Linked DNA regions of Diceros bicornis minor. The protein of the gene in region 1 interacts with the protein of each later gene in a pairwise test. Links are inferred from orthologs where the notes say so. Each region holds a gene or a part of one and is shown in the gene's direction. Other genes may lie near its edges. The genes, in order: PPP1CA, TOR1AIP1, SPRED1 and CSRNP1.

Region 1 (7,444 bases):
GCACAGGAACCACTCGGGCAGGTAGAGCAGGGGCCCGACGCCCACCTGCTGCAGGTGCTTGTGCACACGTGGGAGCAGCCGCCGCAACAGGGCCGTGAACACCTCAGCGTCCAGCTGCACGGCCTCCTGCGGCCAGTCCGTCAGCACCTCCACTCCCAAACCTCAGGCTCTGTCCCCTCTGTCCCGGGCCCCCACCCGCCTTCCCAGCCCCTCCTCCTGTACCCTTGGTCCCATCCCAGCCTCTCACCATGTGAGGCCCATAGTAGCCGGGGAGGTAGACCTCGCAGATCTGTACCAGGCACCAGAAGGCCTCCTGGGGGCAGGGCACAGGCTGTGAGTGCCCACACGAGGGGACTGCAGGGCAAGGGAAAGGGGCAGAGGGGAGGGCCTAGACACCATCTGGGGTGACTCTGGAGCCAGGAGCATGGACTTACTGCAGGGGGGGCTCTTACCAAATGCCTCCCCCGTGCCCAGACAGAGGCCTACCGATGGGTTTAAGGGGTTGGAAATCACAGGGCTCAGGGTGTTGAATTTGAGGGTCACAGGGTTGGGGTTCACTGGTCAAGGGTTGGGAGGGTCTCAAAGTTCAAATCCTGGCTCCTGGGGTTATTAGGGTCAGGGATCACAGGGTTCAGAATCGGGAGTCACGAGGTGAAGGTGATAATGCCAGACTCCTAGATCACTGGGGTAAGGGTAGGGGTCAAGGGTCCCAGGTTCCTGGAGTCAAGGTGGTTGGGCTTGAAGAACACTGAGGTTGGTGGTCATGAGGCCCCAGGTCACTGGGACAGGATCTGGGAGTCAAGGATCCCAGGTCCCTGAGGCCAGAGTTCCTGGGGTTGGAGGTCATGGGCCCAGGGCACAGGATTACAGGGTCCCCAGGTCCCTAGGATTGGGGATCAAGGGTCTTAGCTCCCTGAAGTCAGAGTCCCTGGGGTTGGGGGTCATGGATCACTGGGTCCCACTGGGGCTGAGGGTTCAGTGTCTCAGGTCTCTGGAGCAGGGTCAAGGGCACTCACCTCCGGGGGCAGATGCATGAGCAGCACAGCCGCCACAGGGCCCTGGGCCTGGCAGTAGCCCTGTTCAGGCCGATACAGGGTGTAGGCCTTGAGCACTTGCAGGAGCCCCTGCTGCCTGTGCCAGAAGACCCATTTGGGGCCAGTCCTCTGGGCAGCCCTTCCCACCCTCTGGCGGCCTCTGCCCAGGCCTCAGCCCCCTGCGCCTTGCTGGGTCCCCTGAGATGCAAGGCTATAAAGGGGTGGGGGACTAGGCCGACGTGCCTGGGGGTTGTGGGGCTGGGGGTCCCTGAGCATCACTGGCTTCGTACCCGTGACCCTGGGGTGACACAAACATCTCGTGCAGAGGGAACTGGCGGTGCAAGTCCCTGCCTATGGTCTCCATCCACTGTGGGTCTCCAGGGGCCTCAGCCAGTTCCTGTGGGTGGGCAGGAAGATGAGTGTGAGGGCTCAGAGCGGCGAGGGGCTCTGGGAAGGGGAGGCAGGACCCCTGCCACCCCCCTTACCTGATAGGTGCCAGGGCTGTTCTTCTGACACACATGGGCCCCACACAACAGGGGCCAGCAGCGGGCCCGCAGGGCTGAGGGGATGCCTTTCCGGCACTGCATCTTTACCTGTGGGTGAGGCCAAGGGGCCCCATTAGGCCAGCCAGGCCAGCCTCACCGGGCCGTGTTGGCAGGCCCCAAGCACAACTTGTCATTGGGCAGGGGCCCACTTTGGGTGGTAGGGAGAAAAGGCAGGAGGTGCTGGGACACAGGATGGGTAAATTTTGCTGGGGCAGGGGCCGAGGCAAAGGGGAATGAGCCGAGGAGGCCTGCGTGGGGCCACTCTCCCCTCACCTTCTTGTATCGCCGAGACATGGTTTTCTCCCAGTGTGAGGTCATCTCCACCCACTTCATTTCCCGCTGGCGGATAAGGTCTGCAGGAGGGTGACTTGGTCTGGGGGCACATGGTACAGGCATCCAGGTGCTGGGTAGCTGTTACCTAGAGCCCATATCTGCCACCCTCTATGGTACTTGGGTTAGCCCAGGTCCTGGCCCTGGAGATCTCTGGGGACCCCTGCAGGGTGATCTGTCACCCAAGAGTTGCCAGTAGTTGTCATGGGGACAGGAAAGAAAGTGGCTCCCATGTGGGCAGAAACAGGAAAGACTGAAGGGGGTGTGTAGGTGTGTGTTGGGGGAGGGGCTGGTTGGCTGTCCCGCATGATAGGGACACAGACAACTCACAGGGGAAGCTGGGTGGACAGAGCCCCGGACTAGAAGCCAGAAGCCCCGAGTTTGAGTCTGGTTCTGGCTCTGATCTGCTGTGTGACCTTGGGCAAGTTCCTGTCTGTCTCTGGACTTGTTTTCCTGTCTGTATATTGGGAAAGGGTGAGGGTGGGAGAAGAGGTTCTATGATTTGGATCTGGGATTCCTGGGCCAGAGATTAAAAGGGGAAGGGTCAGCCCTAAGGGTGGGTGCACACCCTCAGAGGCTGGCGGTAAAAGAGATATACAGGGACACCCTACCCACAGTATACAGGGACACCCTACCCACAGTCCTGCCACCCTTGGGATTCCACCTGGAGCCTGAGGAGGGGTGGCACTGGCTAAGTTCCTAGATCCTTCCAGGACCCTTGAGGTTGGGCCTCACTCTAGAATTCAGCCCTCAGCCCTCATCCTCAATCCCAGCACCCCAGCACCCCATTCCTGCCCCACTTACCCTGGCTCTGCCGAGCTGCCCCCGATGAAGCCATAGCGGTCAGCCTGGCGGTATGGGCCGGGCCCACTCAGCTCTGAGTCAGACCCCAAAGAACTGGAGTCATCCTGCAGCTCGCAAGGCTGCACCAGGTCCTCCCCCAGGGCCTGGGCCATGGTGCCCCCGGATGCCACAGGCTGCAAGACGTGGGGAGAGCCAGTGTGAGAGGTAGCTCCCAGCCAGCCTGGGGCCTGGGCTCCCATCCAGCCAGGTCCCAGCCCCAGGGCCTGGCTGCAGCATCAGAGGGGGGAGATTTCAGGGTATTTCACCAAGCCCCCTCTGTCCCCTCTTCTGTTGCGGGGGGCTGGGCCCTAAAGTGGCAGAAAGTCCAGGCCTCTGTACAGGAAATAGCCCCAGGCCCAGCCCCTGTCCTCACCAGCCCAGCTTACCTCCCGGTAGCACCTCACCTCCTCCTCTCACTTCCTCCTCAGCCACAGCTTCAGCAACCCACTGGGGGGCCCCTCCCAAGGGTGTAGAGGGGGTGTCACCCCTTCCTCTCCGAGGCTCTTCCGGCCTGCCCCAGTGCCCCTGGGCCATGGGCTCCTCCCACCCTCCCCATGGGCTGGGTGGCTGCAGGCTTGGGTTTCTGTGCTGCGTGTGATGGGGCCAAGGCCTGCAAGAGGCAGAGAGACCAGGCCACCTCCACTTTTGAGGTTACTGCCATGTAAAACACTCAAATCAGGGTTCCAATAAGAATTATGGTTTTGGGGCCGGTCCTGTGGCGTAGCGGTTAAGTCCGCGCACTCCACTCCGGCGGCCGGGGTTCGCAGGTTAGGATCAGGGCGTGCACCCACACACTGCTTGTCAAGCCATGCTGTGGTGGCGTCCCATATAAAGTAGAGAAAGATGGGCACGGATGTTAGTGTTAGCCCAGGGCCAATCTTCCTCAGCAAAAACAGGAGGATTGGTATTGGATGTTAGCTCAGGGCTGATCTTCCTCACACAAAAAAAGAATTATGGTTTCTTTAATGTTTATTCTTTACGAAGTAATACTTTTAACACACACACAATGCAGCATCATTATGCTACTCAGAAGGCAATGATGGGACTTATAAAAAGTAATAATTAGTGTGCACCACAGGCAGTGTGGACCAAAATGGGCTCGCAGTGCTGCGGCAGCTGCCTGGGTCTGCTCAGCGCCTGGGGGCCAAAGAGACTCACGAGGTAGAGGTCCTCGGTGAATGCGAGGCCCCGGTCTTGGACCAGCCCCTCGCTATATCTGAAGCTGTTTCCTTTTCTGCACTTCGAGGACTTAATCTGCAGCGTTCGGGGAGACCGTTATCATTGTGCTCACACCGCCCCCTCGCCCAGAGTAGGGGTGGGAAGGACTGTTTAGCTTTTGAAAGATAAAAACAACTTCCACAGTACTTCCGGCCCCATATCCTCTCTAGGGGCCTGGGTGATCCTCAGGGGCGGAGCCAGACTCCACCCTGCCCCACAAGGCCCCGCCCACCTACCAGGCCCCGCCCCAGAGACGCCGAGCCCGGCCCAAGCCCCGCCCACAGCCGAGGCCCCGCCTCCCGGGCTGCTGCGCTTGGCGTCCTGCGGAGGCGCTAGAGCGCTGGGGCAGCGGGCGGGGCGGGGCGGGGCGGGGCGGGGCGGGGCCTCGGTCATAGGACGGGCGGGGCGGGCGGCCGAGGAGGCGGGGCGGCGGGCCGGGGCGGGCCGGGATGGCGGAAGGAGCTCCAGGCCGGAAGGAGGCAGCGGGAGGGCGGGAGGCAGGAGCTGGCCCGGAGCTGCTGGGCCGGAGCGGCGGCGCCGCCATGTCCGACAGCGAGAAGCTCAACCTGGACTCTATCATCGGGCGCCTGCTGGAAGGTTGGCCGGGGCGGGGGAGGTCGGCGCCCGCCGCGCCCTGGCCCCCTGCCCGGCCCGGAAGTGGCGCGCGGGCGGGCCTGCCGCTCCCAGGGCCAGCTTAGACTGGGCGGGGACGGGCCGCGAGGGCCGCGGCCGCCCCCCCACTGGCGACGCGCCTAGGAGGTCTGGGGCCGCTCCGGCACGGGGAGCAGCCCCCTCTTCTGGGCCAGGGGCGCACGGGGTGGCTGGGGCTCTTGGGGCGAGGGTGAAACGTGAGAAGCCCAGCCCCCCAGGGAGGGGTCCTGCGCTATGGGGTTTGGGTGGCAGGCCCCTGCGCACAGCAGCCCCCTCGAGTGACTTGAGGGTAGTTGGGGTCCCGTCCCGGGAGGCTCAGCAGCAACAGCTGCCCCTGGGCAAGGAGGGGCCTGGGAGCCTCCAGAAGTGCTCCTGGGGCCACCCGTGTCGCCCACCCTCCTCCTGCCTGAGGGGCCAGGGTCCTGACGCCCCATTCCGCCCCCAGTGCAGGGCTCACGACCTGGAAAGAATGTACAGCTGACGGAGAACGAGATCCGTGGTCTGTGCCTCAAATCCCGGGAGATTTTCCTGAGCCAGCCAATTCTTCTGGAGCTGGAGGCGCCCCTCAAGATCTGTGGTGAGCCCCGTGCCCAGGCTCCTTTGCTTCCTGCAAGTGGCATTGGCCCCTAGAGTCCCTGGATCCCTTTTCTTGAGCCCAACCCTGGCCCTGGATTCAAGTCTCTACCCTGCACCTAGTGCTGACCCCGGTTCCCTGGGTCACAGGTGACATCCACGGCCAGTACTACGACCTTCTGCGGCTGTTCGAGTATGGTGGCTTCCCTCCAGAGAGCAACTACCTCTTCCTGGGGGACTATGTGGACCGGGGCAAGCAGTCTTTGGAGACCATCTGCCTGCTGCTGGCCTATAAGATCAAGTACCCCGAGAACTTCTTCCTGCTCCGTGGGAACCACGAGTGTGCCAGCATCAACCGCATCTATGGCTTCTATGATGAGTGTGAGTGGGCTGGGTGTCTGGGGCTGCCCAAGTCCTGAAGAGCTCTCCCCGCTATCCAGTGGGGCCCTCACATTGTCCTGGTGGTAGGGATATCAGTGTCTGACAGACACCTGCTGGACTGCGAGCTCCGTGAAGGCAGGGCCCTGCCCTCCTGGCCTGGGGCCTGGCACTCGGGAGGGGTCTGGTGAATGGTTGCTGACTGAAGAGCTGACCATATTTTCATGCAGGGCCCTGCCTGCTAACACTCCCTCCGGCACATCCGTTACTTAAGCACATAGGATGCCTATCTGGACTGGACTCTGTGGGCCAGAAGCTGAGATAAACCAGACCTGGTCTTGGCCTGGCCCTGCTCCTGCTCACGGGGTGGGTGCCAAACCTGAGGTTGTTCCAGATTGGAACTCTAGGTTCCTGTGCACTCAGCTGCTTTAGAATTCCTCTTAGAAGGCTGGTAGGCAGTGGGGTGGGGTTGGAGGTTTCCCTTCTTGCCTTCCACTCTCTTCTCCCAGCTGTGTCTGAACAGCCCACGAAGTGCCTGGGAGGGCCCAGAGACCCAGGCTGAGGGTCAGGCAGACAGGCCTCCTCATGAGCCATCTCCTTACTCTGGGCAGGCAAGAGGCGCTACAACATTAAACTGTGGAAAACCTTCACCGACTGCTTCAACTGCCTGCCCATCGCTGCCATTGTGGATGAGAAGATCTTCTGCTGCCATGGAGGTGAGGGCGGCTCTGGGGTACCTGCTGAGGGAATGCTTGGGGAGGAGGAGCCTGGCCACATCCCTGGGGGCCTTGGGATGAAGAGAGTGCCTGGAACAGGTCTCCCTGGCGTCTGGGCTCGCATATCCCTTCTTCCAGGAAGTCCCCCTGCACCCCAGTGTTAGGCCGCACTCGCTCCCCTGTTGTGGCCTCAGCATCCAGCATGGAATTCACTTGTCTCCTTTCTCCAGGGAGCTGTGTGCTCCCTGAGGGCAGGGACTTGAAGAGGCAGGTGATGAGTTCTGCCTGCCTGGGCTCCCAGGAGACAGCCAGGTGGTACGGGGGAGGCAGAGGCTGACTGCACATGCTGTCTGGAGGAGGGGGTCCTTGTTTTGAGGCTTATTTGAGGAAGCGTCCTATGCTCTGCACCCCCCAGGCCTGTCCCCCGACCTGCAGTCGATGGAGCAGATCCGGCGTATCATGCGGCCCACGGATGTGCCTGACCAGGGGCTGCTCTGTGACCTGCTGTGGTCCGACCCTGACAAGGACGTGCAAGGCTGGGGCGAGAACGACCGTGGTGTCTCCTTTACATTCGGGGCTGAGGTGGTGGCCAAGTTCCTGCACAAGCACGATCTGGACCTCATCTGCCGGGCGCATCAGGTGGGCTGGCAGCTCTGGGCCGGTGGGAACGGGGCCTGGGCAGCCAGCACCTGCTGAACTAACCGCCCCCATCCTCCTCCAGGTGGTAGAAGATGGCTATGAGTTCTTTGCCAAGCGGCAGCTGGTGACACTTTTCTCAGCTCCCAACTACTGTGGCGAGTTTGACAACGCAGGCGCCATGATGAGTGTGGACGAGACGCTCATGTGCTCCTTCCAGGTGGGGCTGGGGAGGAAGGGGCTGGTGGTCCCTGGCGTGGCCCCGTGAGCTGACCAGCTTTGTCTCTCTTAGATCCTCAAGCCCGCCGACAAGAACAAGGGGAAATACGGGCAGTTCAGTAGCCTGAACCCTGGAGGCCGGCCCATCACCCCACCCCGCAACTCCGCCAAAGCCAAGAAATAGCCTCGGTGTGCCCGCCCTCTGCCCCAGATGGTGGATTGTACAGAAATCACACAGCCGTGGGGCGTCACACTGGCTCCCCAGGCCTACCCATTATGGGGAACGCGGAGCCTTGGTGTA
Region 2 (7,796 bases), on another chromosome or scaffold:
ACAGGTAAAAATGAAACAAAAACAGTATGTTGAAGCAGATTAAGATAACACTTCTGCATCTGCATATAAAGTCTAACAATTAAGCACTACTGATAAAGTAGAGAGCTAGACACTTCCGTGAAGGAAGGAAAAAGGGGTAAACTCTCATTGGGTATGAAATACAATCGGGAATACATATATAATATGTAAGAAAAATGGTAATTGTAGAATCTTACTAAAACTTCAAAACTTTGCCCTTTTTAGCACCACTAAAGCTAAAAAAAAGGGGGGGGGTACTATCTCATAAGGATTAAGATGACCAAAGACGGGATCCTGTCTGGCAGAGGTAAAGGGAAGTAATCACCACCTACAGTGGTAGTCTGATTCCCCGTTTACATTCTGAGCCTTATAGGAATTCTGCTTCCCTTCTCAAAGTCCAAACCAAACATTTATTCCCATCTTAGTGTTAAGGTTTATAAGGTTCTGTTTATCTTTCTTTACTACAAAACAAAAATATACCCCCAATCTGCTCCGCTTAGGGTTTTTGCAGTAGGGAGGTGGGGGTGGGGAGGGATCGTTTCTGAAAGATGTTTCGAAATCAGATATCAGATCAAACATTAAAACATGGAAAGGTTGTATATACATTTTGTTTACTTACAAATCCTAGCGAGGTTTTAAACCGTCCACTGTCAATGTCAGCGGAGCCCTTCGCGTGTTCTTTCTGCCCCACAACCAGAGGCTGCACCCCTCCGACGCGGCGGAACAGAACGTATTCCCTGTGCCTGTCCACGTGACGTGACGGTGACCTCCGGGCGGGGAGGGCCCGCGGAATGCCGGGACTGGTAGTCGCCCGGCCCCTCCTCCTCCTCCCCAGTCGCCCGCACGCACGTCTCTCCACTCCCCCGCAGCCAGCCCCGCCAGAGCAAGAGGCGTGGTGAGCGCGCGCAGCAGAACCACCCGTCCCGGCTCCCGTGCTGCTGTCTGACGGGAAGCAGGCATCTCCGCAGCGCATCGGACGACCCTAACCCTTACAATGATCTAGAATGCATAGGCTGGAAGAACCCATGGAACCAACACAGTGAGAGGCACTACCCAATGATGATGGCAAGCACCAGTCAGACATCACACTTGGAACCCGGCCTCTACCATTACTAGGTGCTTGGCCTCAAACGAGTTGCTTAATCTAAACCTCAGTTTGCTCCTGTCAACTGGGGACAACGCTACGTACCTCATAAGGTGGTTGTGAGGAAATGCGCTAATGTACTTAACGGTGTCTGCTAAATGATAGTAGTAAATGATGAATAAAGAGTAGCTATTATTTTGATCTAGTAATTTCGCAAATGTGAAAACGGAGAGATGGCAAGCAATCTACCCAAGAACACATAATTGGCTAGGGGCAAAGTTAAGTAAATCTAAAACTTCTGTTCCCGACCTACACCAATTCAAGACAATATAGAAGAAATCTACTCAAAATCTCACTTCTCCTTTCCTCATTTTTTTCCGTAACACTTCTGACCAACACACTATTTTACTTATTTTGATTTTTTATCTGACTCCCATAGAATATAAACTCCAAGAAGGCAGGGAGGATTTTTGGCCTTTGGTCTATTCTTTCACTGTTGAATCTCCAGCACCTACAACATGGTCTGACTGTACACAGCAGAAACTCAAATATTTATTGGATAAATGATTCTTCATGTATCAGTGCCTCCACCTCTCAATCATCCTCTTTTGGCAGAAGTCACAGGATTTGGAAACACTCTTAGATGATGTTTAATAATTGACTGCAATTTCTAATTCAACAGAGAATAAGCGGAAGAATATTTATTATATTCCATTCACTTCACTGAGTTTAAATTTTCTTAATTTCAGTATAACATTTCCAGCTACACATTTTCATTCGTATAAAGTCTTTAAAATACTTTTTCTGTCACTTGTGAGAATGGGGAATAAATGGAGCCAACTACTATGTCTTTAATTTACTTCCTCTAATATTTTAATCATCTTTTCCTTATTAAAAATAACAATGTTGCCTCTTTCTACTAAGATAAAACCCCAGTTATTTATTTCCCTATCTGACCAGAAATGTGCATATTATGCACAATAAATTGACAGTGCTTTATCTGTAAATAATTGTATTTCTGCCTACTCTAAACAAAAAACTCATGTACAAAAATTATTACTTTAAAATAAAATGTTTCATTTAAAATAGCTGCTTTATTTAGAAATCCAGTGTCAAGAGTTAGGCCTAACAGCTAGATATATAAATTAACGCATCATTTAATCTAAATTATAATTTGTAGTATATCTCTCCTACCTAATATATGGCAAATTCCCTAATGGTAAAGAATACACTCACTAATTCATATATTTATTAAACATCTTGGTAAAGAATACACTCACTAATTCATATATTTATTAACATCAATGTATTCTTTCTTACAATCATTTCCTTTCTTAACTGTCTTCTCTTTCGATTCACTGAATTCCTCCACGTATCTCAAATTCCCAAGGTAACTGTCTAACATCCAGAGCTCCTCTTAGTATTTTCCTCTTCGTATTAGTGGCTCCGCAATTCCCTTATAATATAGGCTATGAGTCTGTCTCTGCAATGTCACTTCTTTTGGGCCACCCTTGTAGTCTGGAAAACATCTACAGCAGAATATCTGGTTTGATGAGAGTTTAGCTTTACCTCACACTTGTTATTAAAGTTGGTATTTGTAAGGTTGCTAGGTGTGGGAGGCAGGTATGGCAGAGCTAGGATTATGTAGTTTTATTACCTAGACAAAAGACGGAAAATCCTAAGCAAATATACATGTTAATGTTCCAGTTACCGTGCCTCTGATTCTTCTTTAAGATTCTCATGATTCGTTTCTTTGGAAAGTCATTCCTAAGCCTTTACAAGCATTTTTAATTACAAAATAACACATGTACTCATTATTCAATAATACGTAGAACCTCTCATCTTCTCTGATTGTTCAATAATATGCAGAACCTCTTGTCCTTTCTCTCTTTTTTAGTATACCCCAAACTTAAGTTTCACAAGTCTGTATCCAAATTTCTGTTTAGTCATTTGTCCTGGTAAATGTTTTAAAGAGGCTCTTAATATACGCATTAATGTACATAATATGAACTTTGCACATTAATACTATGAGGTTTTATATCCTTTAATAATTACATCTATTACGGAACTTTTACTATTATATGTTAATAATGAGTAATAGAATAGGCACGTTATAGAGAAAGTCTTACTTAAAACATAAGTAAATAAAAGCCAGGTATTACCAAGTATCTATATTCTTCAGCATTTTGTCAGAAAAGTTAATTCTCACAAATTTTCCAAATATACTAACTCAAGCTGACAAAGAAGAATACACTTTTAATTTTCCCTTAAGATAAATGATTAAAAAGAAAAAAAGCATCTCCCTTGTTACTGTTTCTCCAGTTTCTTTGGCTATATTGTATATTGTAAACAAACCTAAACTAAACTAAATCCCTAACAAGCTAAAACCTAGGTGACTCTCTAAAGTATGTAATTCCTTGTGTCTGGGGCCAAATTTATAGACTATTAGTGAAAACACAGTACACCTTAATATTTCATTAAATTGAAATCTGTGCCTAGTTTGAGCAAGAGTCGCTCAAAAACATTAGAAGGGGTTTAAAAGACTTGATAGAATAAACAAATACCTTCAAACTTTACAAAATCATTCATTGTAATTGGTATAAGTTACAAGTTTTTAAATCTATTCACTAAAATCAATTACAGAAAAGTCCTGCAAGACAAGCGTGTATATTTGAAGGTAACATTAATCTTTTTTTCAGTAACTATTCAGACTTTAACTTAACTTTCCCTCGGTGTGTCTAAATTTGGTTAGATATTTGCAGATTATTCACATCTGTAACTATGGTATACGGAGGTGAAACAAACAGTTATCATGCTTTCTTAGTAAACTAAACGCAGGAAACCCTAAATCAAACGCAGTATTTCAAGTCATGCCCAGAATCAAAGTAAAAATAATGGATCACAAGTTAAAAGACAGCGCGGCTTTAAGCAAAGTATTTGCTCATTTCTCACTGCCCGTAACACAGCGCTAACAAGGTTTCCGAAGAGCGCTGCTGGCACAGAGCCTTTATACGAAAGCCAAGAATAAGAGCCTATTTGCTCTGCGTACATTTTGCAAATGGAAATCCACCCGAGTATGCCTGTAGGTACGATTTTGTACACTCGCAACAGGTCACTTAAATTTAAAACTGGATACCTGCCTTCATAAGGAGCTTGAAAATAAAAATTTCTCCAAGAAAAGATATAAGACCTGCAAAAGTATCTTTCTTATCCTCACTCTGCTAGGGACACTTGAAGAGGCATGGCTAAGGAAGCAGTCCATCAAAAAGGTTCCAGGAGAACTGCGCAACAGCCAGGGGGCGAGGACGCAAACTTCTCCTCCGCCCCCGTCTTGCTCGGCCTTTCCCAGACACTCGGCACTGGGCGCCAGGACGGGCGTCTCCTGCTTTCGGGCAACAGTTGCCACGAGCAGCTGGGCTTAGGAGAGGAAATCTGCCCCGTCAGTTGTCCCTTCTCCGTCGTCTCCTCCCTCCCTCCTCCAAGGCCAAGGACAGCGACGTCCTCCTCCCTCTTCTCCTCCTCTTTGGTGCCCTCAGCCAGGAGGCGGGAGTGACCCACAGCAGCTGACCCAGCACAGGCACTGCCTCTCCCACAGCCCTCAGGACACACCATGGGCCCAGAGGCAGGTTTGCAGCACAGCAGCGACGACGCAGGCGGCGGCCCCGGCGACTCTCAACTACCTCCCTGACGGCCGCGACCACCGCCCAACAGCCCCGAAAAGCCAGTGCCATCGACGGCTGGAGAATCTAGGGGCCCCCAAACCATCTTCGCGGTCGACTCAAGCTACGTCAACAACTATGGCGGGCGAGGGGCGGCGGGCGGAGCCGGTGAGGGAAGAATGGGCATGGTACGTCACGCCCAGGGCCCCGCTGCGGGAAAGAAGATGCCGGCTCGCCCCTCAAAATGGCGGCGGCAGTAATGCGCCTGCGTACGGAACTCCGCCGTCGCGCCACGGCCGGCGGGAAGTGAGGTTCTCAGAAGAGCCGCCAGAAGTGTACGGTGACTTCGAGCCCCGGGTGGCCAAAGAAAAGTCCCCGGTGGGAAGACGAATCCCGCTACGAGAGTTCCGGCCCGACTCTGGGAAAGAGGAAGTGAGAGAAAGCGCCTACTACCTTCGGTCTCGGCGGCGGACGCAGCTGCGACGTCTGGAAGCCGAGGAGATGCAGACGCGAAGGGTTACTCGCCTACAGCAGCAGCACTCACTGCAGCCTCCGCTGCAGCCGTCTCCGGTTACGACCAGGAGAGGGATACGGGACTCTCATTCCTCTGAAGGTGAGGCCGGCGGAGGTAACGGTCTCAGCCGAAAGCCAGCGAGCGAGCGGGCACGCGTGGGATGTTGGCGTGCAGCGGGCGGGCGGGCTCCTCCCCGGCACTCATCCCCGCCGGGGCTCCGGGGCTCCCCCGCCCCCTGGACGTGCGCCTTTACGTGGGGTCCGCCCAAGCGCAGGCGGGAAAGAGGCTCGGGCGGGAGGACTGGACAGGCAGTCTTGCGGGGCGGCCTGGGCAGAGCCGCGGAGCTCTGCCCGTCCCGAGGCATCAATTTAGGGGTGTCGGGATTGCCTCGTTCTGCGGGCCTTCACGGGGGACGGCTAGTTAGGCGGGACGCCGAATCACTCCAGGCTCGGTTTCATTGCGGTTTCCTCTCTCTCTTGCGGATGTGTCTACCAAAGCCACTTCCATTTCCTCCTTTAACTCTGAGGCCAGAAGTCCCCAGTTGAGAAGCGTGGTTCTAATGTAACCTTTCCTTCCTTTTCCGTCACTACCCAGGTGGGGGGAGAGGGAGGGGAAATTTTGTGAGTGGGCGTTTGGAGGGATAGCGTGATTGGTGAATTGACTTGAGACCCCACCCAAATACTTACCTGAAACGGGGTAAGTCGTTTATCCTGAACTTGAAGCTCCTCATTGTCTGATAAACTTGAGCTGATCGCTCTCTCTTCAGTGTGGTGGTCTCTGCCAGAAATTCGCCACGTTGGGGGCCCTCAGTGTAACTTCAGTGGTTAAGGAGCTTGACAAAGCACGACTCTAATTAGTTTTCGTCTGAATGGGCCAAAAGGATGCTGACAAGGTATATAGTTTTAGGTAAGTCACAGGTGAATCAACTTCCTTAATCCATCCTCTCCCACCCTGCCTTCCCCCCCCAACACACATAGGTGAAGTTGCATGTTAGCCCCATGTAAGGCACTTATGAGGTAAAAATCAGGGGATTTGAATCACAATGGGATTACATAGTTAGTGGTAGACCGTTGATGGATATGAAGAGGAGGTAGATTTTCAGTTCAGAGTAATGGACTGCACGTTTACCTGCTGACACATTTGAAGATGTGTTGATTTTGGAAACTTTGTGTTAAAGATATGTAAGTTACTATTGGATGTAACAACTCAAGACAGGTTAGCCCATATATATGAGTTTTCTCTCTCTTTTAAGATAAACTTCCTGAAGACAGATCCTGTTATATATATTTGAAGGGCCTTGTTATACTTTAGTAGTTGCCTTAATTCTGTATCTCCTTCAATATCTGGAAGAATGCTTTCCACATAGTAGGCAATAAATATGTGTTACATTGTATTGACTCTCCCACAGAGCCTAGTGCAGTTATACTAGCTAATTTTTTTTTAACACACAAAGGTTTTACCTCAATTTTAGTACGTCTATAAGAATCTAAACGTTTTTCACTCTTCTGCTTTTTCCACATCATTAGTGAAACTCTACCCCATCTTTTAGGCCAGCCCTGGTGGGGTCTAGTGGTTAAGATTTGGTGGCTCTCACCACTGAGGCCCAGGTTCGTTTCTTGGTCTGGGAACCACACCACCAGTCTGTCAGTTGGCACACTGTGGCAGCTGCATGCTGCTGCGATGCTGAAAGCTATGCCACCGATATTTCAAATACCAGCAGGGTCGCCCACGGTGAACAGGTTTCAGCAGAGCTTCCAGACTAAGACTAGGAAGAAGGACCTGAGCACCCACTTTCAAAAAAAATTGGCCATGAAAACCCTATGAATAACAACAGAGCATTGTCTGATACAGCACCGAAGGTGAGAGGATGGCCAAAAAGACTGGGCAGGGTTTTGCTTTGCTGTACACAGGGTCACTAGGAGTCAGAATCGACTCCACAGCACTAACAACAAGAAGCCCATCTTTTAAATTTTCTAAAGTAAATATACTTTTGTTGTAAAACATCAGTGGTGAATAGTTTATTTTTATATTGTCTTAAGAGTGTGTATTTCTGACTAGTTAAATTCTTAAGTTTTGCTAAACCTAATTACACATTTCTAAAGAAATGAATTACTTGTATTTCTGCTTATATATTGCTATTAATATGCATAATCTCTACCTAGATCATATATTCTGAATTTTGACAATTTTCATGTCTATTCTTTAGAGGATGAACCATCTTCAAATACTGTTGTAAGCCAAACAGTCTCAAAGAAAACTATCTGGAGAACACAAGAAACTCCAGGTGAGAAGAGTGATTTTGTTTTTTTCTTTACCTGACAGCTTTTTTTTATGTACAGATTATCGCCAGTTCATCAAGGGTCCCAAATCATACTTCATTCAGAGTTTCAGTGAATCTGCTTCATAGGTTGTTTATGGAATTAAGCAGTACAGGCATGGGTCAAGAAAAGACTGGGCAGATAGTTGAGTATCTACTAATTACCAGCCACTTTGTATGTGTTAGTTCATTCATTCACATAAC
Region 3 (7,589 bases), on another chromosome or scaffold:
GCATACTTATCCTTTATACTTTGCATTAGTTTGGAAGAACATGGAAACCCTAGTGATGGAGAAACAGACTCATGCCAGAGGCAAGGAAACTATTTAGAAACATGGTTACCATTTAGTAATTCCCTGAGAGGCAGAGCTCATTAGCCAAGAGACTGGTTACACTAAAAAAAAAAAAAAAAAAAAAAAAAGAAAGCTCATTCATTAAACAAAGTACAGCATGAAAATAGAGTCCCCTTTGATCTAGGCACATATTAACTACAGTTTCAAAATACAAAATTGTAATAACATCTGCTAAGGGGTAATGATAAGAGTAAGTCTAGAAATGGAAATGTGTACATGTATTTTACATACTGTTAGAACCTCAAATGTTGGCATGGCTGTCTCCTCTTTGGGCTTTTCAAGTATATAGATATCTGCTGAGAGCATAATAGTACAAGGGATGGTGTATGTGAAATGCTGAACTGCAGTAGTTTTCCAGTTGCAATAGGAAGCCAGAGGGGCCTCCAAACTTCCATCACAGTGTCAGTCCATCCAGCTTCATTTTTATACATACACAAGGCCTTAGCAAACATTTCACTTAAAAGTGTTTAAAACCACTGTGACGAGAACACCAAAAAATGAAACGCAGCCTCTGCCTTCACGCCACTTAAAATTTAACTGGGAAAATAAACATAAACTCATAAAAAGTGGATTAGCAAAAAAAAAAAAAAAGAGAGAGAGAGAGAGAATTATCAATATAAGCATAAAACAATAAAGGCAAAAAGAATTTGAGAAGACAAATTCTGAGTTCCTAAGAAAGACAGTCACAACAGACTGAGTGGTCTGGAAAGAGGGAGAAAGCCTTGAATTGGAGCGCTACATGCCATCTGCCAGTGCCTCCACGAGGACAGGCCACCTTTGCTGTCCTGGTGAACCCTGATCTGACACCTACCTGGAACCCAGAACCCACTGGTACCATCTTAACTTTGACGATGTCCTATATTGGCTATTACTTGGCGGTTGTGCTGTTGGCCCAGGGATGCTTTCGATAATTAATCATTTACAACAGGTTGTTAAGTGGCTGTGGCTCATTCCTAAAGCTGAGGACAATAGTACTGAGAGCCACTTGCGAGCACCAGCTATGGTGACCAGCCTCCTTCTCACAGACCTACCTGAGGAAACGCAACCGAGCAAATACAAGTGTCTCCTGCCCTCCTGACCCCTGACATGGCCACGGAATCCTTCTCAACTACTGCTCATTGGTAGCTATACCAATTGAATGGAGTTGAAACTTAAAGTAAAACTGTGAACTATATGTACCTTCTCACATAGCTTTTCAAGTCTTATTGGATCCACCTTCCCTAGCTGAACCAGCCCTCTGGCCTTGACCAGTATCTACCTTAGCCTATGATATACCTTGGGCCACCCTTTTCCATGTTCTTCTGGAGCAGAGGTTTCAGTTAGGGATGTGTTTGGGGATGGGATGACACAAGCGGTTGCAAGGAAAGGAGGAGAAGGCTATGAAGGCCTAGAAGGACTCAGTACCTGGCATACTTCTGGAAAAGTAGGTTTGTCAGCACAATACAGATCTGCTGATCACAATCTCTGGACTGGGGCCTAGGAATCTGCATTAAAGGGGTACTTGCCGTGTACTTAAAAAAACCTTTTTATTATGGAAAATTTCAAATAGATACAATAGTAAAGAGAATGTGCTTATCACCAATCCACAACCAATCTTGTTTCATCTATATCCCTACCCACATCCCCCCACTCCTCACTCCACTGGATTATTTTGAAGAAAATATTTCAGTATGTATTTCTGAAAGATAAGGACTTTAAAAAACACAACTACAACACCAATACTTAAAAAAAATTCCTTATTATCATCAACATCTAATTAGTTTTTGTTTCCCCAATTATCTCAAATTTTAAAATATTTGTTCAAATCAGGATCCAAATAAGATCTCACACATTGCATTAGGCTGCTATGTCTCTTGTACCTCTTAAGGTCCAAACACTGGAATAGACCAGGGGAGGCCTCTTGTGTTTAGGGCAGTTGCTGATAGAAAGTCAGACTAGAAGCCCCCTGGGCTCTGATTCTCATCGTAGGACCATTTCTGATGTTTTCAGAGTAGAAGACTCAGTGCTCAGGCCAGACCAAGACAGTTTTTTACAAACTTGGTAAGATCTTCAACAACTGGATGAGATGAGAGAGCTACAGATGCACCTTAAGAAGGGCACACAGGTGTCCTGAGAACGGCATGGGGAATGGTTTGGTGACTGTGTCCGGGTCATGGGATTGGGAACAATCTAAAAAGCATTAATTCGGGGTATTGATCATATCTTGCCCCTTTAGGTAAGCAATGTGTGCGAAAGTGACCAGCACAGTGTCTTCCACATGACAGCCAAGGTGGTTTTCATCTTTTCTCCCAAAGCCTGTAACGGGTCATTTCCCTGATGCATGTGAATCTCAAACTGATGCAAATATTTTCAAAAGAAAAGGAGGCCTTTGCAAGTGACCCAACTTTCCTTGTCCTTACTTAATCATAATGACTCTAAGAATGACCATTTGTTAATGACTTACTGAGGGCTGGGCCATGTGTCTAGCACGAGTGGTACACGGGAGAAAACCACTAGTTATTTGTTGACTGAATGAACAAGGCTACTGAATGCTTTACATTTAAACCTTCAGAGCAACTGCCACCACCCTGTCGCGGCGTTTCTGACTATCTCCATTTTACAAAATCATCGTAAGAGCTAGGACTTATTGAGCTCTTAATCTGTTCTAAGTGCTTCATGTATATTATTACCTCATTAACCAGCACATCAGCTTTATGAATTAGGTACTATTATCCCCATTTTACAAAGGCACAGAGTTTAAGTAATTTGTCTAGAACACACAAATTATGACTGACGGGACTTGACTGAAATCTGAGCAGCCAGAGTGATTAGCAGTAGTAATGGAAGGAGAGCAGGCCAGTACCAACACTCCCAGTTATAGGTTCTTCACAGGAACAAGACCAAAAATGCAGGTTCAGAGGTAACAGAGGTAACCTCTGTCTATTGCAGATCCCCTCACCTCTTCCTGTCACCAACTTTGCCCCTTCTTCCCTTTGGGTATGGACAATGCTGCTGGCAAGACACGAAGCAAGAGTTAAATCAAGAAACCTCAGAAATCAACGGGATGGTTTTTGGGGCAGACTGACTGGTTTAGCTCCTTTATTTATTCATCAAACATTTATTAAGCACCTCCTTTGTGCAAAACACTGTTAACGTGCTAGTGTATGCGCTCCCGAGAACAATCCTGAAACTTCCAGGAGACGGACGGCAGAAGGGGAGTGCTGGCTTGTTTGAGAGGTTCTCGCACTTTCTTCTTCCTCAGGAAATGTTCTATCCCTCAAGGTGGCAGGAGCAGCAATCTTCATTCTCAGGACGCACAAACCTGAGAATGAAGAGAAAAGCATTGCGCACAGAGCTAGACTGATACCTAGGGAGATGCGTCAGAAACTTGGGATTCAGTCCCCCAGGCCCGATCATGTATAGGCTGGCTTTCTAGGTAGAGAAAAGATAATAGAATTTACAGAGCCAGGAGCTGAGTCCTCCGGTCGGGCAGACCCCAGACTCCGGCCCGCAACCCCAGCAGGTTTCTGTGCAAAAACCTTTTGAGATGAATGCATACGTTGTCCTCTAACAATGCAAACGTGACAGCTGCCTATTCAGTAATCGTTCCGCCTCCGTTTAGAGCAGTTCGTGCCACAGAGGCATCTTCTGCGCTATAGTTATGCAACCTCACTCGCAGCGGGAGTTATTTCCTGTGCTTCTGGCTGCGCCAGATTCATGTAACACGCCTACCCCGGGCTTCAATGGAAGTCGTTCTCCATTAACAACCACTCTAGCTTTCAGAGATGAATGCCCTGCACCGCATACCCCTGGTGCAGTAAGAATCCAAGGTATTAAAACTCTGTCTCTCTCTAACACACACACACACACATACACACCCCAACACGCACTCCCGCTGTGCCTGCAGCTGGGGGACTGCAGCAATGCAACCAGAGGGACAGCAGGCGGAGCTCTCTTTGTACAGTCCCTCCCTCTAACCCCCACCAACTAAAGATGAACTCATGCCAGTTCCATTCTTTGCTCTGCAAGGAAAACACACATACACACAGACACACGCGCGCGCGCGCGCGGCAGAACAGTGTAGCCTCCAATTTTCTCCTTGAGCACACTGTCATTCTAGCCTCTTCGTCCAAACAACCCGGATATTCTAAAACGAGTAACGGGGAGTAACGCGCCGCAACAATGCAAGCTCCCAAGCAGCTCCCCGTGCAGCTCACACCCCCGCCCCCTTTCGCAGCGTGCCAAGAGTTTGGAGCGCGCGCACGCACACCGAGCACGGTGCTGGCGTATCCCTCCGCCTCCCTCCTCCTCTCCCCGCTCGGTGGCTCGACAACGATTTGGGAAATGAAGGGAGGAGGGAACTACTTTCCTGAAACTTGCTATGCTGCACACGACTTCGAGTTGCAGTGATTCGCCCGGAGGCCGCAGCTTTTAGTTCTCCTACCCACGCGCCCTCACAGCGCGGGCACCCCGCTCAGCAACCCCACCCCGTGCCCGCTCTGGCCCCGGGGGAAGCCGGCGTCCGGGAGAAGTTGCCAGGGACTACTTCGCCGCCTTCTCCCGCGGGCGCCCCCGGTTCGGGCAGCGGCGGCGGCGGCGGAAGGAGCGGGCGGCGTGAGCGCTTCCGCCGCCCCCCTCGCGGCTCCCCTCTGGCGGGCGTGAGGAGCTGGCCCGCCGAGCTCCGTGCTGGTGGGCACGGCTGGAGGGGTCCTGCGGCCGCTCTGCCCGCTCTCCCGCCGCTTCTCGGCACCCTGCGCCGCGGGCGCGCCCGCTCTCCTCCGGCCCGGGTGGGGGCGGTCGGCTCGCCTGCCCCTGCCTCCCGCTCCCCGCCGCCCCCTCCTCCCTGCTCTGGACTCGTCCGGGCTGGAGCGTGTCTGGAGGAATCCGCCGCCGTGAGGCCCCTCGCCGGTTCGGCTCGTTCCTGAGGACCGCCCCGGTCGCCGCCGGGGGCTGAGCGGGCAGCCGGCGGCGAGGCGGGAGATGGTGGGGTGGGCTCCGGCAGGACCGCGCCGCCGCCGCCCGGAGCCTGGGCTCGGCACCCCCCCGCCGGCCCCCACCGAGCGGAGCTCTGCTTCCTCCTCGCCGCATCCCTGAGGGAAGCGCCGCCTCTGCTCCCGGGTTCTCCGCCCGCCCGCCCGCTCCTTCCTGGCCGGACCCCGCCGCGCTCCACCCCAGTGGCCGGAGGAGCCGCTCTCCAGTCAGCCTCGCAGCCCCCCGGCCTTTTTTGCTTTCCACCCACCCTCCTCGCCTCCTCGGATCCCTTGGCTGGGCGCTGAGGCGGGGGAAAAGGCTGGGGTCGCCACGGCGGAGGTTGTTGCCGCCACCCCCCTGCGGGGGTGGCCGGGGTTCCCGGCTGGGGGGGCACCGTTCCGGGTGAGGCATCCACCATGGTGAGGCCCCTGAGCCGCTGCCCCCGCGCCCCCCCGGCCGCCACTGCCTCCTGCCCCCCGGTGCTGCTGCTGCTCCTCCGTCTGCTGTTGCTCCTCCATCTCCAGATCGGATCACGGTGAGGGAAAGATGAGCGAGGAGACGGCGACTTCTGACAACGAGTAAGCGCCTCATTGATCCTGATTGCTAGCCCCCCGCCCCGCTTCTTTCCTCAGCACTCCCCCAGACCCCTGGAGACTTGGGTGCCGGAAAGCTTGCAGCCCTGGAGAGTTCGGTGCATCTTGTTGTGAAGATAACATTTCATTTCTTGAGCCATTTTATTTAATGGCAGCAAACCCACCCCCCACCCCCCGCGTTTAATTGCTTTCTTCTGGGGGAGGGCGTTGAGTGTTGGGGTGGCATGGCAATTGTCTGTCCAGGAGATGGAGCAGTGTGGATGGATGGAGGCGGGGTGGAAATTACCCCTTTGCCTGGAAGACCCCTGGCCTGTCCTTTTTCTCCTTAGCATACCAATCAACATATCCTGAATATCCGTCCTGCTTCCTTTATAGCTATTTCACTTGGAAACTAATGTGTGGGAGCACCTTCTGCAGCAAACTGCTCTTGAATCTTAATTCGATGAGTCAGTGACTCTTAAATACCGATTAAGCCTCCACCCCTTCCCCCCTTTTTTATACTTAGGACCTGTAAGATTCTTGTAAAAAATGGGGCTAGGGAAACATTTTTAGAATTTAATGGCATTGAAGACACCTGGAGTGTGGGAGATGGCGAACTATTATATTTTACCTTCGCGAATACTGGACGTGTCTCTATCAGGAGCATAGAAGAATTTTGAATGCTAATGTTTATCCTTCAGCTATATTGAAACACACCATTTACGTTGGTATAACAGTATTTACATTGCTGAACAAGTTGATGACTTCATTCATTAACTTCTAGAGCATCCCGGTTTAAGCTTTTGTTTATTTGGGCTGTCCTTATGTTTTTCAAACGAAATACTTTGCCTTTTAAATGTTTTGCTTTAACGTAACAGCTGCTTGGGGGAATAATGATGCGGTAACAGTTTTCTATTGAGATGGGATTTAATTCCGTGCAGAATATTAGCATCCTTTTTCTTGTAATTAAGTTCAAGTTTTGTTTATCTTGGTAGGGTTGGAAAGAGTTAAGTGAGTTAGGACTAGTCCTAGGATGCATTCCTTTAAATAAAGTGCATTCCTCAAGTCTGGCCGTTTAGAGAAAACTTGAAAATCCAAAGCCTAGGCCTATTTAACATAAAATAGCTTGAGAAATGCCAAGTAGCGTTTCTCTTGCCCGCCCCCCACGCCCCCCAACACACTCTTCTCATGAGCGGGTGTGGGAGAAGGTAGATTGCTGCAGTGTCAGTGCAGTCTAGAAGCAGAAGTGGCCGCCATGTTCTCTCTCTTTTTGTGAATCGCCCTCATTTGCATAGCACACTCTTCATTCATAAAAAAATAATTAAACATCCATCACCTTGGACATCTTGAAAGAATTTCCCAAGAAAAAAATTCGAAGCTTGACTCTGTCTTCATGTAGATTTTTGAGTTCAGGAAGTAAGGAGAATTCGAAGTTGTAGGTTAAATTCAAAAACATACGCACACACAAACAACTACCCCTGTTCTCAGAATGTTGACACAGTTATGTGGGAAATATCAGTTCGGGGAGGTGCTGGGATCACGTGATTGCCTCCATTCATAAAATACCTGGCTGTCCATTCACAGTGCAGTACACTGTCTCATTGCCTTCCGCAGATTAGACCTACTTTGAGAGAGATCAAGAAGTATCTCAGATAACGCTGAGTTAGGAGAAAAACTGCTAAAAATCCTGAACGGAATGACGATAGTTTTTCCTGGTATCTTTAAAGAAAGTAGCCTGGATCAAAATGTCAAGTTCTGTTGTAGAGATGGGAAAAGATTCGTTACCATATTTAAAGTAAAATATTGAATACCTCCTTTTTGGATGCAGCTAATAGAAAAGCAAATGAGGGAATGTGAATTGACAGGTGTAAAATATATTGTTTCTAAATGGGGTCTTTTTGTAGTACTTGGCATGGACAAATTGAGAGTGCAAGTTTTTGGTGTAGT
Region 4 (7,528 bases), on another chromosome or scaffold:
CAGAAAACCAGAAACAGACCCCAGTACACATGAGAATTCAATTTCCATTTAAGGTGACCTTAAAATTAGAAGAGAAAGATGATAAGAAAATTAACTAATCATTTGGGGGCAAAAACAAAGTGGGAACTCTAGTCCATTCCTTAAGTCAAAATAAATTCCAAATGGATAAAGGATTTATACATTAAAAATCAGACCATAAAACTCTGGAGAAAAGAATAGGTGAATTTATGCGTAATATCATGTTAGGTAATGCAGCACACAAAACGCAGGATTCCTAGAGTAAATGTTTAAGAACTTTGACTATGTAAAAATTTAAAACTTCTGTCTGGTAAAATACACTATAAACTAAGGTAAAAAACAAACCGGGAGTAAGTGCAACATGTGTGACAGACAGAAGGGTTCATCTCCTTAATCCTCCAAGACTTAAAACAACCCAATACAAAATCAGTAAAGAATGTAAACCAGCAGTTTAGAGAGAAACACAAATGGCTTACAAAAGTCTCAGCTTCACTCATGATTAGAGAAATGCCAATTAAAACAGTAAGATCTCTTCTTTGTTTCTCCTATCAGAGTGGCAGAGATCAATAAGTTTGATGATACCCATTGCCAGGGAAGGTGTTGGGAAATAGGCCTGCTCAGATACCATTGGCTGAAAGTGAAATTGGTGCAACTCTTGGGAGGGTGATTTGGTAACATCTGTCAAAACCCTTTGACCCAGAACTCAACTGCTCAGATTTTTAATCCACAGATCTACACTCAAATGTCTTTCAGTTTACATAAATGAGAAGGTTCAAGAAATGTGCCTGAAAACAGTCCTCTTTCCTGGGTTTTGCTTTCCAAGGCCTTAGCTCACTGGGTGTCAAACTTTGATGTGCACCAGAATCAGTGAAGGGCTGGTTAGAACACAGGTTGCTGGGCCCCACTCCCAGTTTCTGATTCAGTGGGTCTGGGAAGGTCCCAAGAATCTGCATTTCTAACAAGTTCTCAGGTGATTCTGATGCTGCTCATCTGGGAGCCACATCTTTAGCCTGTTGCAGGGACTAGGGCAGGGGGAGAGATGGGGGCCTGGAGAGGTGAGTTCCTTTGAGGGCAAGGAGGAAGAGGCAAGGTGGAGAGGAGCAGGACTCTCCCCAGGACTGGGGAGAGGAGGAGATTGCGGGGTGGTGTTGTCCAGAGATGGATGTTTGAGCCTCCTAAGAAGACCTTAGTCCCTGCTCCCAGCCTCACTAGAGACTCCTTCCTTTCCTCTTCACAATGAAGGGTGGCTCAGAAATAGCAGAGCCCACCACCTACTCTCAGTGAATCCATAGGCTTGGATAGGGCCTTATTACCTGTGAGCAGACAACACGGACTGAAAATCAGAGAGCTGGGCCATCCTGGACAGGGGAAAGCATCCCCATTCCTCAGATAAGCCTTGGAGGGGGCACATGGGAGAGTATCCCTGCTGACTGAGGTTGAAGTTCTCCTGGGGAATCAGCTGCTTTGATTTGATTTTAAATAACATCTTTTCAACAAGTGGTGCTGGGGAAACTGGATTTTCACATGCAAAATAATGAATTTGGACTCTGACCTTAGACCATATACAAAAATTAACTCCAAACGGATCAAAGTCCTAAATATAAGAGCTAAAACTATAAAGCTCTTAGATGCAAAAAATAAAAACTTCCTTGCACCTAGGAATCACGATGGAATAAAATTCTTACCCGTTACACTAATTTAGATGGAGAGAAACCTAAACAGTTGAACCTGACCTATGAGCCCCAGGTATCCCTCATTGGCCAGGACATAGACTTACTGGGAAGGCTGAAAACAACAGCAACCCTTTCACAATTAAGGCACTACGATCGTCATCCCCTCCCACCTCCTTTTATCAAGGTAAAACCTCCATAAGGTGAAGTGAACAAATCTTAAGTGTAGAATTCGTATTTTTACATACGTATGTGCCTGTCCAACCACTGCTCAGATCAAGATATAGAACATCTCCAGCACCCCAGAAGGCCCTCTTGTGGCCTTTCCCAGTCAATATTCCCAAAGATAATGTTATCCATCACTGTGATTAAGTTCTGCCTGTTTTTAAACTTCATATAAATAAATGGAATTATAGTTATTCTTCTTTTGTCTTTGGCTTCTTTTACTCAATATAATGTTTTTAAGATTCAGCCCTGTCATTGCATGAGGCAATCACTTGTTCTTTTTCATTGCTGTGCAATATTCCATTATATGATAAATCACAATTTGTTTCTAGTCACCTTTGGGACATTTGAGGTTGTTTCCAGTTTTAAGCTGTTATGAGTGAAGCTGCTATAACATTCATATATCTTTTGGTGGACATAAGTACCTTGTTTCTCTTGGGTATATATTGAAGAGTAGAATTACAAGATCATAGAGTTTATCTGTGTTTGGCCTTAGTAGGTACTGCCCAATTATTTTCCAAACTGATTGTATCAGTTTACCCTCCCACCCACAATGTATGATAAATCTGGTTAATTCTTAATCTTGCCACATTTGGTACTTTTTTAATTTGTCCTTTTAATTTTAGTCTTTCTGATGGGAATGCATCAACAATTTGTAATTTTTAAAAATATTTATTTAAAACTATCTTTTATTTACCTAAAATGGGTGGTCCATGGATGCTGAATGTTTGAGAAACTCGTTGGATTCTCTTAAGCATTCAGAAATTCCCTGAGGATGTGTGGGTGTGTTTCTGCCTATGTATGTGCCCAAGTCACAGATGGAGGCTGCTCCAGACCCCACCCTCCTTGCCTTGGAACAGACCCTTCATTTCCCCACCAACAGAAAGAGCTTAGTTGGGATCCCAGAGGGAGATGTTTCCCATCACCAGCAACATCTGGGGAACATCTGGTGAGCCCATCCCAGGACAGGGAGATGCTTTTCTGGAGAAATCACATCACTTATTTGATTCTTTTTATTATCCTATATTTTCCCTTTTATTCTCTCCTTCTCTTCCTGCCCCCCAAATCCCATCACCCACTGGGCTCCCTGCTCTAAGCCTCCACTCCAGCTCTTACCAACTCCCGGCCCCGCTCTCTGTCCTGTCTGCTTTCCCCAATACACAGCCCAGCAGGACGCAAATCTAGGCAGCCTGAGAGACCCTCATCAACTCTAGTGCTCAATTCTGCCCAGTTCCCTGATCAGCAGGCAGCATCTTCTAGAAGGTAACTCAAGAAATGTTGAAGCCGGTGAGGTTCTCTGGTCCAATGCCCCTACTTTTCCAATTGGAAGACTGAAGGAGAAAGAGAGAGAGAGAAAGTAAACTAGAACTCCACTCTAGGTCACAGAGACCCCCCTTTCCCCTGGGGACCTGGCCAGAGGATGAGAGGTAGGAAGGAGGCAGTGGAAGAAAGAATTCCTTTGGACCAGCAAGGTCTGCAACCAGCCACCACAGGGAGAGCACAGCTGAGTGTCTGAGGGGGTGGTGGGTGGGTGGCCACCCGCCATCATAGCCTTAAGGGCTGAGTCACCTCTAGCAACTGACATCCAGCTCTGTAGCCTCCTGAGCTGTCTCAGCCACGCCTATGGCTTCAGTGTATCCGCTGTAGCGGATGACCCTTCCATCTCCACTTCCAGCCCTGCCCTCTCCTTGAGCCCCAGCTCCCTGTACACATTTACTAGGTACATTTAATTTATTCAACAAGTTCTTACCAAGCACTAAGGACTGTCAGACACAGCCCCTGCCCTCCCACTGCTCACAGACAACACACAAGGAAATGCACTAGTAAACCATACGACTAAGTGGGTGCAAGGCAGGTGCAGGCTGGAGATCAGCATCTTCGGAAGTTTGAACCAGGATGAGCAGGACACACCCCCAAGAACTGACTGCTGGCAAACAGGCTGGAGTGTAGTTATCAAGGACGTAGGGTGGGAGTGTAGAGGTCAGGCTGGAAGAAACTTAAAGAGATATAGAACAGAATACCTCGCGTGTAAATTAAAACTACATATGCTGCACCAACGTCACATGTACAATGTACAAATAAAGAGACATACACACATTAAAGACATTAAAATGGAGGAGCAGGGAAGGGAAGGTGGGATGGGAACATGCAGAGAGAGAGGCGAGGCTGCAAAGGTGGGCAAGGGCCTGATTACTCTGGCTTTGTAGGCCCCACGGAGTTGAGACTTCATCCTAGGGCACTGGGAAGTCACTGGAGGCTTGGCTCCAGCTGTCCAGACACCTCTCCCTGACAGCCCCCCCAGGTCCACACATTCAAGGCATCCAGAAAGGACAGGGGATGCAGCTTCCCCCAATCTGCTTTCCTTCCACTGTTCTTACCTGGAAAGACAAAGGGCAGGCAGACCCCTACTGGCCCCTCTACACACACACCTGTGGCCGAAAAAGGGCCCTCACCATCTTCTCCACTCCAGGCGCCATCCAGGCAGGACAGGTCACCCCCACCCCCACCTGGAGGAAGGTGGAAAGGAATCCAGAGGGCTGGGCTAGTCACTGACAGCACTCATCTAGGACAGTCAGGGAAGAACCCAGAATGCAGCGGGAGCTGGACTGGGAGGGGGAGGGTCAGGCTCCCACGAAGGCTCCCTGGAGGAGGCAGTGCAAGCGGAGTCCTTCCAGGCGATGGGATTCTGGTAAGCAGCGAGAGGGCAGGAAGGGATTCCAGGCCAGAGCAACGGCTGCAGCAAAGGTGTGAGGATAGAAACGTTCCAGGGACACGTGGTGGGTAGGACTGGACCAGCGTTGGGAGGAAGGGCGGAGGGTGGGTTCCTGGGCCAGGACTCGCTGCAGGGTTTGCACACTTTCCCCTGCGCCGTAATACAGGGAGAGTTGGCCCCTAGTCAGGAAAGGCCTTGGCGGGAGCAGAGAAGGCAGTGGGCCATCTTAAGTGGCCAGGGTCTGGCTCGGAAGAAACCAGCCTTTTTTTTTTTTTTTTTTTAAGAGACGGATGGGGTGGGGTGGGGGTGGCGGGAAGCTGGTTCCAAGAACTCCTAGCTCAGGGCTTCTGCAGGGTCTCTGGCCGGTGGGCAGAGGTGAAGGTCAGGCCCACAGATGACCTCCTCCCCCTCCCCCCTGCCTTCACCCCCATCCCCCACCCCAGGTTCTTCTCCAGTCATAGTTTATTTTTCAGGCGGCTCTGGGGGTGGGTGGTAGGGAGGGCGCGGAGGAGGGAACTTGTAGATTGTATTATAGTAAACTGCCTGGGACGGGGTGGGGGTGAGGGCGTGTAGGCGGCCGCGGCACTGCCACCTTCTCGCCCGGTGGCCTTCAGGACGCTCTGCGCTGTTCCGAGCCTCAGTCTACCCATCTGCAAACGGGGGTCTTGGGGTTAGGTCGGGATCTTTACGGCCCTGCTCTGCTGGCTAGCAGCGTCGGCGACTTGATGAAAGTGCAGGAGAGGGGACGGGGGAGGGCGGCGGAGGGCCGAGGGCGGAGAGCGGTCGAGGCGCCGTCGCGGGGTCAGAGTCCGTAGGGAGGCCCCGCGGCCGCGGCGCCCGGCTCCGGGCGGGGGAGGAGGCGGCGCCTCCGGGGCGGGGCTGCCGGGCGGCCTGGCGGGAGGCCCGGCGTGCGTCAGCGCCGTGAGCCCCGGAGTTTTCCACTGACGAGGGGGGCGGAGCGGCGGGCGGGGCCGGGCGCAGCCAGTCTCCCGCCGCCGCCGCCGCCGCTCCGGACGCGCAGAGCTCGGGGCGGCTGGGCCGACGGCTGCCCGGCCGAACGAACGCAGGGGTGCGGCGCGGGGGACGTCCCCGGGCGGGACGCGAGTCGCGTCGGTGTCGTTGGTGAGCGCCAGGATCGCAGGTGAGTGCTGAGGGGCTCCGGGCGCGGCTGGATGGGACCTTGGGGAGGGGACGTCCTGCGCGGGTGGCACTGCCCCTCCAGCCCCTGCCATTTGTCCGTCGTCCCCCTGCGCGGGCGCGGGGACGGGGACAACCCAGCCTGGCCACAGCCTGAGCGCCGTTGCCGGAGTCCGGGGCTGGGAGCCCGGGAGGCGAGAGTCACAGGTTTTCCGCTCCCCTCCCCCGCCTCGCCGCCGGTCCCCCCGAGAAGTCACGGCCCCGAGCTCGGGGTGGGGGGCGGCCGAGCCGAGGTTGCGCGCGGGCGGCGGGGTGACGGGGTGCGCGCGTCCGCGGGTGAGTTTCGTTTTGACCCAGTTGTCTGAGAACTTTTCAGAAGTTCCTCGCGTGGCCGGAGCAGGTGACATTTGTCGCCTTCCTCCTCGGGCTCCCCCCGGGGGCGGGTGCCGGGGCTGTGGCGCGTGTCTGGCGCCCCCGGCAAGGCAGGGGTCAGGGAGGGAGAGGAGGGATGAGCGAGGAGTGAAGCTCCGTGAGTCACGGACCCCGGGAGGGAGGGAGGGATTGTGTCGTACGCTCACCTGTTTGTCAGTCACCGTCACACGCAGAGGCCACCGCTGTGAGTCACGAGCGCAGCTACCCGGGCCACCCGCGGGCACACGTAGGCTCTCTCCCACGCGCTGCTCCCCTCCCCGGCACGTACTTCCTCCTGGTCCTCAGTTTCCCCTCCCCGGGGGCTCTTCCGTAGGCTGTTGAGATGCCCACACGACAGCAGCCCTCACACACTTAGTCACTCCTGCTCCCTGGCACAATCACACGTAGCGCACACTCCTGACACAAGAGGGTCCCTCCTGGGCCCGCTGCCCACCCGACACCTCCACTCAGATGTCTCATAGTTCTCTGGAACGGAACTCATCACCTCACCACCAAATCCTTGACATCACTGCCCTCATCGGTCTCCACATCCAGAAGTCACCAAGTCCATTCCCCTTTCTCATTTGCCCTTGTCCTGTCATCTCTCACCTAGCTCTGGCGGTGCGGTCCAACCGGTCACACCCCTTCCCACCCCCTCCAGTCCCCTTGCTGAGCCATCTTTTTAAAATGCAAATCTGTTATTGTCACTCCCTACTTAAACCCTCTGTGGCTTCCTGTGCCCTCAGGCTAAAGCCTGCCCTGTCACCCCTGGCGTCCTGCAGCCCCCTCTCAGGCCTCCCCTCCCCCCTCACTACTCTGCCTCTCTCAGCTCAAATCCCTTACACTGCTCTGCCCCCTCTCTGGAACTCTTCCTACTTCCCTTCCTCCGAGAGACCTGTCTTCACTGCCAGCTGTACCCCTCCTGCCCCACCCCTCCCACCCTCCATCCCAGTACTCAACACTGGTTTGTAACTCTGATTATACTCCTTCCCACTAAACTCAAAGCTCAAGGGGGCAGCACCAGTGTCTGACTTGCTCCCTGTGTGTCCAAGTGCCTGACACAGTGCTTGGCATGACATAGGAGCTCGATAAGTATTTGTTGAATGAATGAATGAATGAATGAATGAATGATGAGAGTGAAGGAGGCCTTGCTTAGGTGCAGGAAGCAGTCACTGTCAGGTGCAATTTCCCTTCTGCAGAAGCAATTGCCTCACATAGCCAGCAAACATTTGGCACCTACCCAGTGCCAGGCCCTGGAGGCCAAGGCTGAGGAACTGTCCCCTCCCCCAGGATCACTTTCAGAGGGATGGGTGGGGGAGGGGTGTGTCTGTGCTCTCTGGGCTGCCTAGGCTGT

What was found.
Region 2: the proteins of PPP1CA (region 1) and TOR1AIP1 interact in a two-hybrid assay, tested with the Homo sapiens proteins (2 studies listed by BioGRID and IntAct). The link is inferred for Diceros bicornis minor from reciprocal best matches to the Homo sapiens genes PPP1CA and TOR1AIP1.
Region 3: the proteins of PPP1CA (region 1) and SPRED1 interact in binary tests that used the Homo sapiens proteins (3 or more experiments, as listed by UniProt). The link is inferred for Diceros bicornis minor from reciprocal best matches to the Homo sapiens genes PPP1CA and SPRED1.
Region 4: the proteins of PPP1CA (region 1) and CSRNP1 interact in binary tests that used the Homo sapiens proteins (3 or more experiments, as listed by UniProt). The link is inferred for Diceros bicornis minor from reciprocal best matches to the Homo sapiens genes PPP1CA and CSRNP1.

Annotation. Positions count from the first base shown.
Region 1 is NC_080770.1:6,127,522-6,134,965, forward strand, and holds the start of PPP1CA (serine/threonine-protein phosphatase PP1-alpha catalytic subunit), read left to right. Parts: upstream 1-4,443; 5' UTR 4,444-4,512; coding exon 4,513-4,567; intron 4,568-5,066; coding exon 5,067-5,198; intron 5,199-5,344; coding exon 5,345-5,575; intron 5,576-6,183; coding exon 6,184-6,288; intron 6,289-6,703; coding exon 6,704-6,927; intron 6,928-7,009; coding exon 7,010-7,144; intron 7,145-7,216; coding exon 7,217-7,327; 3' UTR 7,328-7,444. Other genes in the region: TBC1D10C (carabin), read right to left, coding at 1-126, 248-313, 1,017-1,131, 1,325-1,431, 1,520-1,627, 1,853-1,952, 2,714-2,952. UniProt on the Homo sapiens protein: Protein phosphatase that associates with over 200 regulatory proteins to form highly specific holoenzymes which dephosphorylate hundreds of biological targets.
Region 2 is NC_080743.1:87,166,051-87,173,846, reverse strand, and holds the start of TOR1AIP1 (torsin-1A-interacting protein 1), read left to right. Parts: upstream 1-4,792; 5' UTR 4,793-4,899; coding exon 4,900-5,374; intron 5,375-7,481; coding exon 7,482-7,559; intron 7,560-7,796. UniProt on the Homo sapiens protein: Required for nuclear membrane integrity. Induces TOR1A and TOR1B ATPase activity and is required for their location on the nuclear membrane. Binds to A- and B-type lamins. Possible role in membrane attachment and assembly of the nuclear lamina.
Region 3 is NC_080744.1:36,357,233-36,364,821, forward strand, and holds the start of SPRED1 (sprouty-related, EVH1 domain-containing protein 1), read left to right. Parts: upstream 1-4,574; 5' UTR 4,575-5,616; coding exon 5,617-5,648; intron 5,649-7,589. UniProt on the Homo sapiens protein: Tyrosine kinase substrate that inhibits growth-factor-mediated activation of MAP kinase. Negatively regulates hematopoiesis of bone marrow.
Region 4 is NC_080741.1:41,917,562-41,925,089, reverse strand, and holds the start of CSRNP1 (cysteine/serine-rich nuclear protein 1), read left to right. Parts: upstream 1-4,528; 5' UTR 4,529-4,591; coding exon 4,592-4,602; intron 4,603-4,612; exon of another isoform or gene 4,613-4,658; intron 4,659-5,652; exon of another isoform or gene 5,653-5,767; intron 5,768-6,744; exon of another isoform or gene 6,745-7,528. UniProt on the Homo sapiens protein: Binds to the consensus sequence 5'-AGAGTG-3' and has transcriptional activator activity. May have a tumor-suppressor function. May play a role in apoptosis.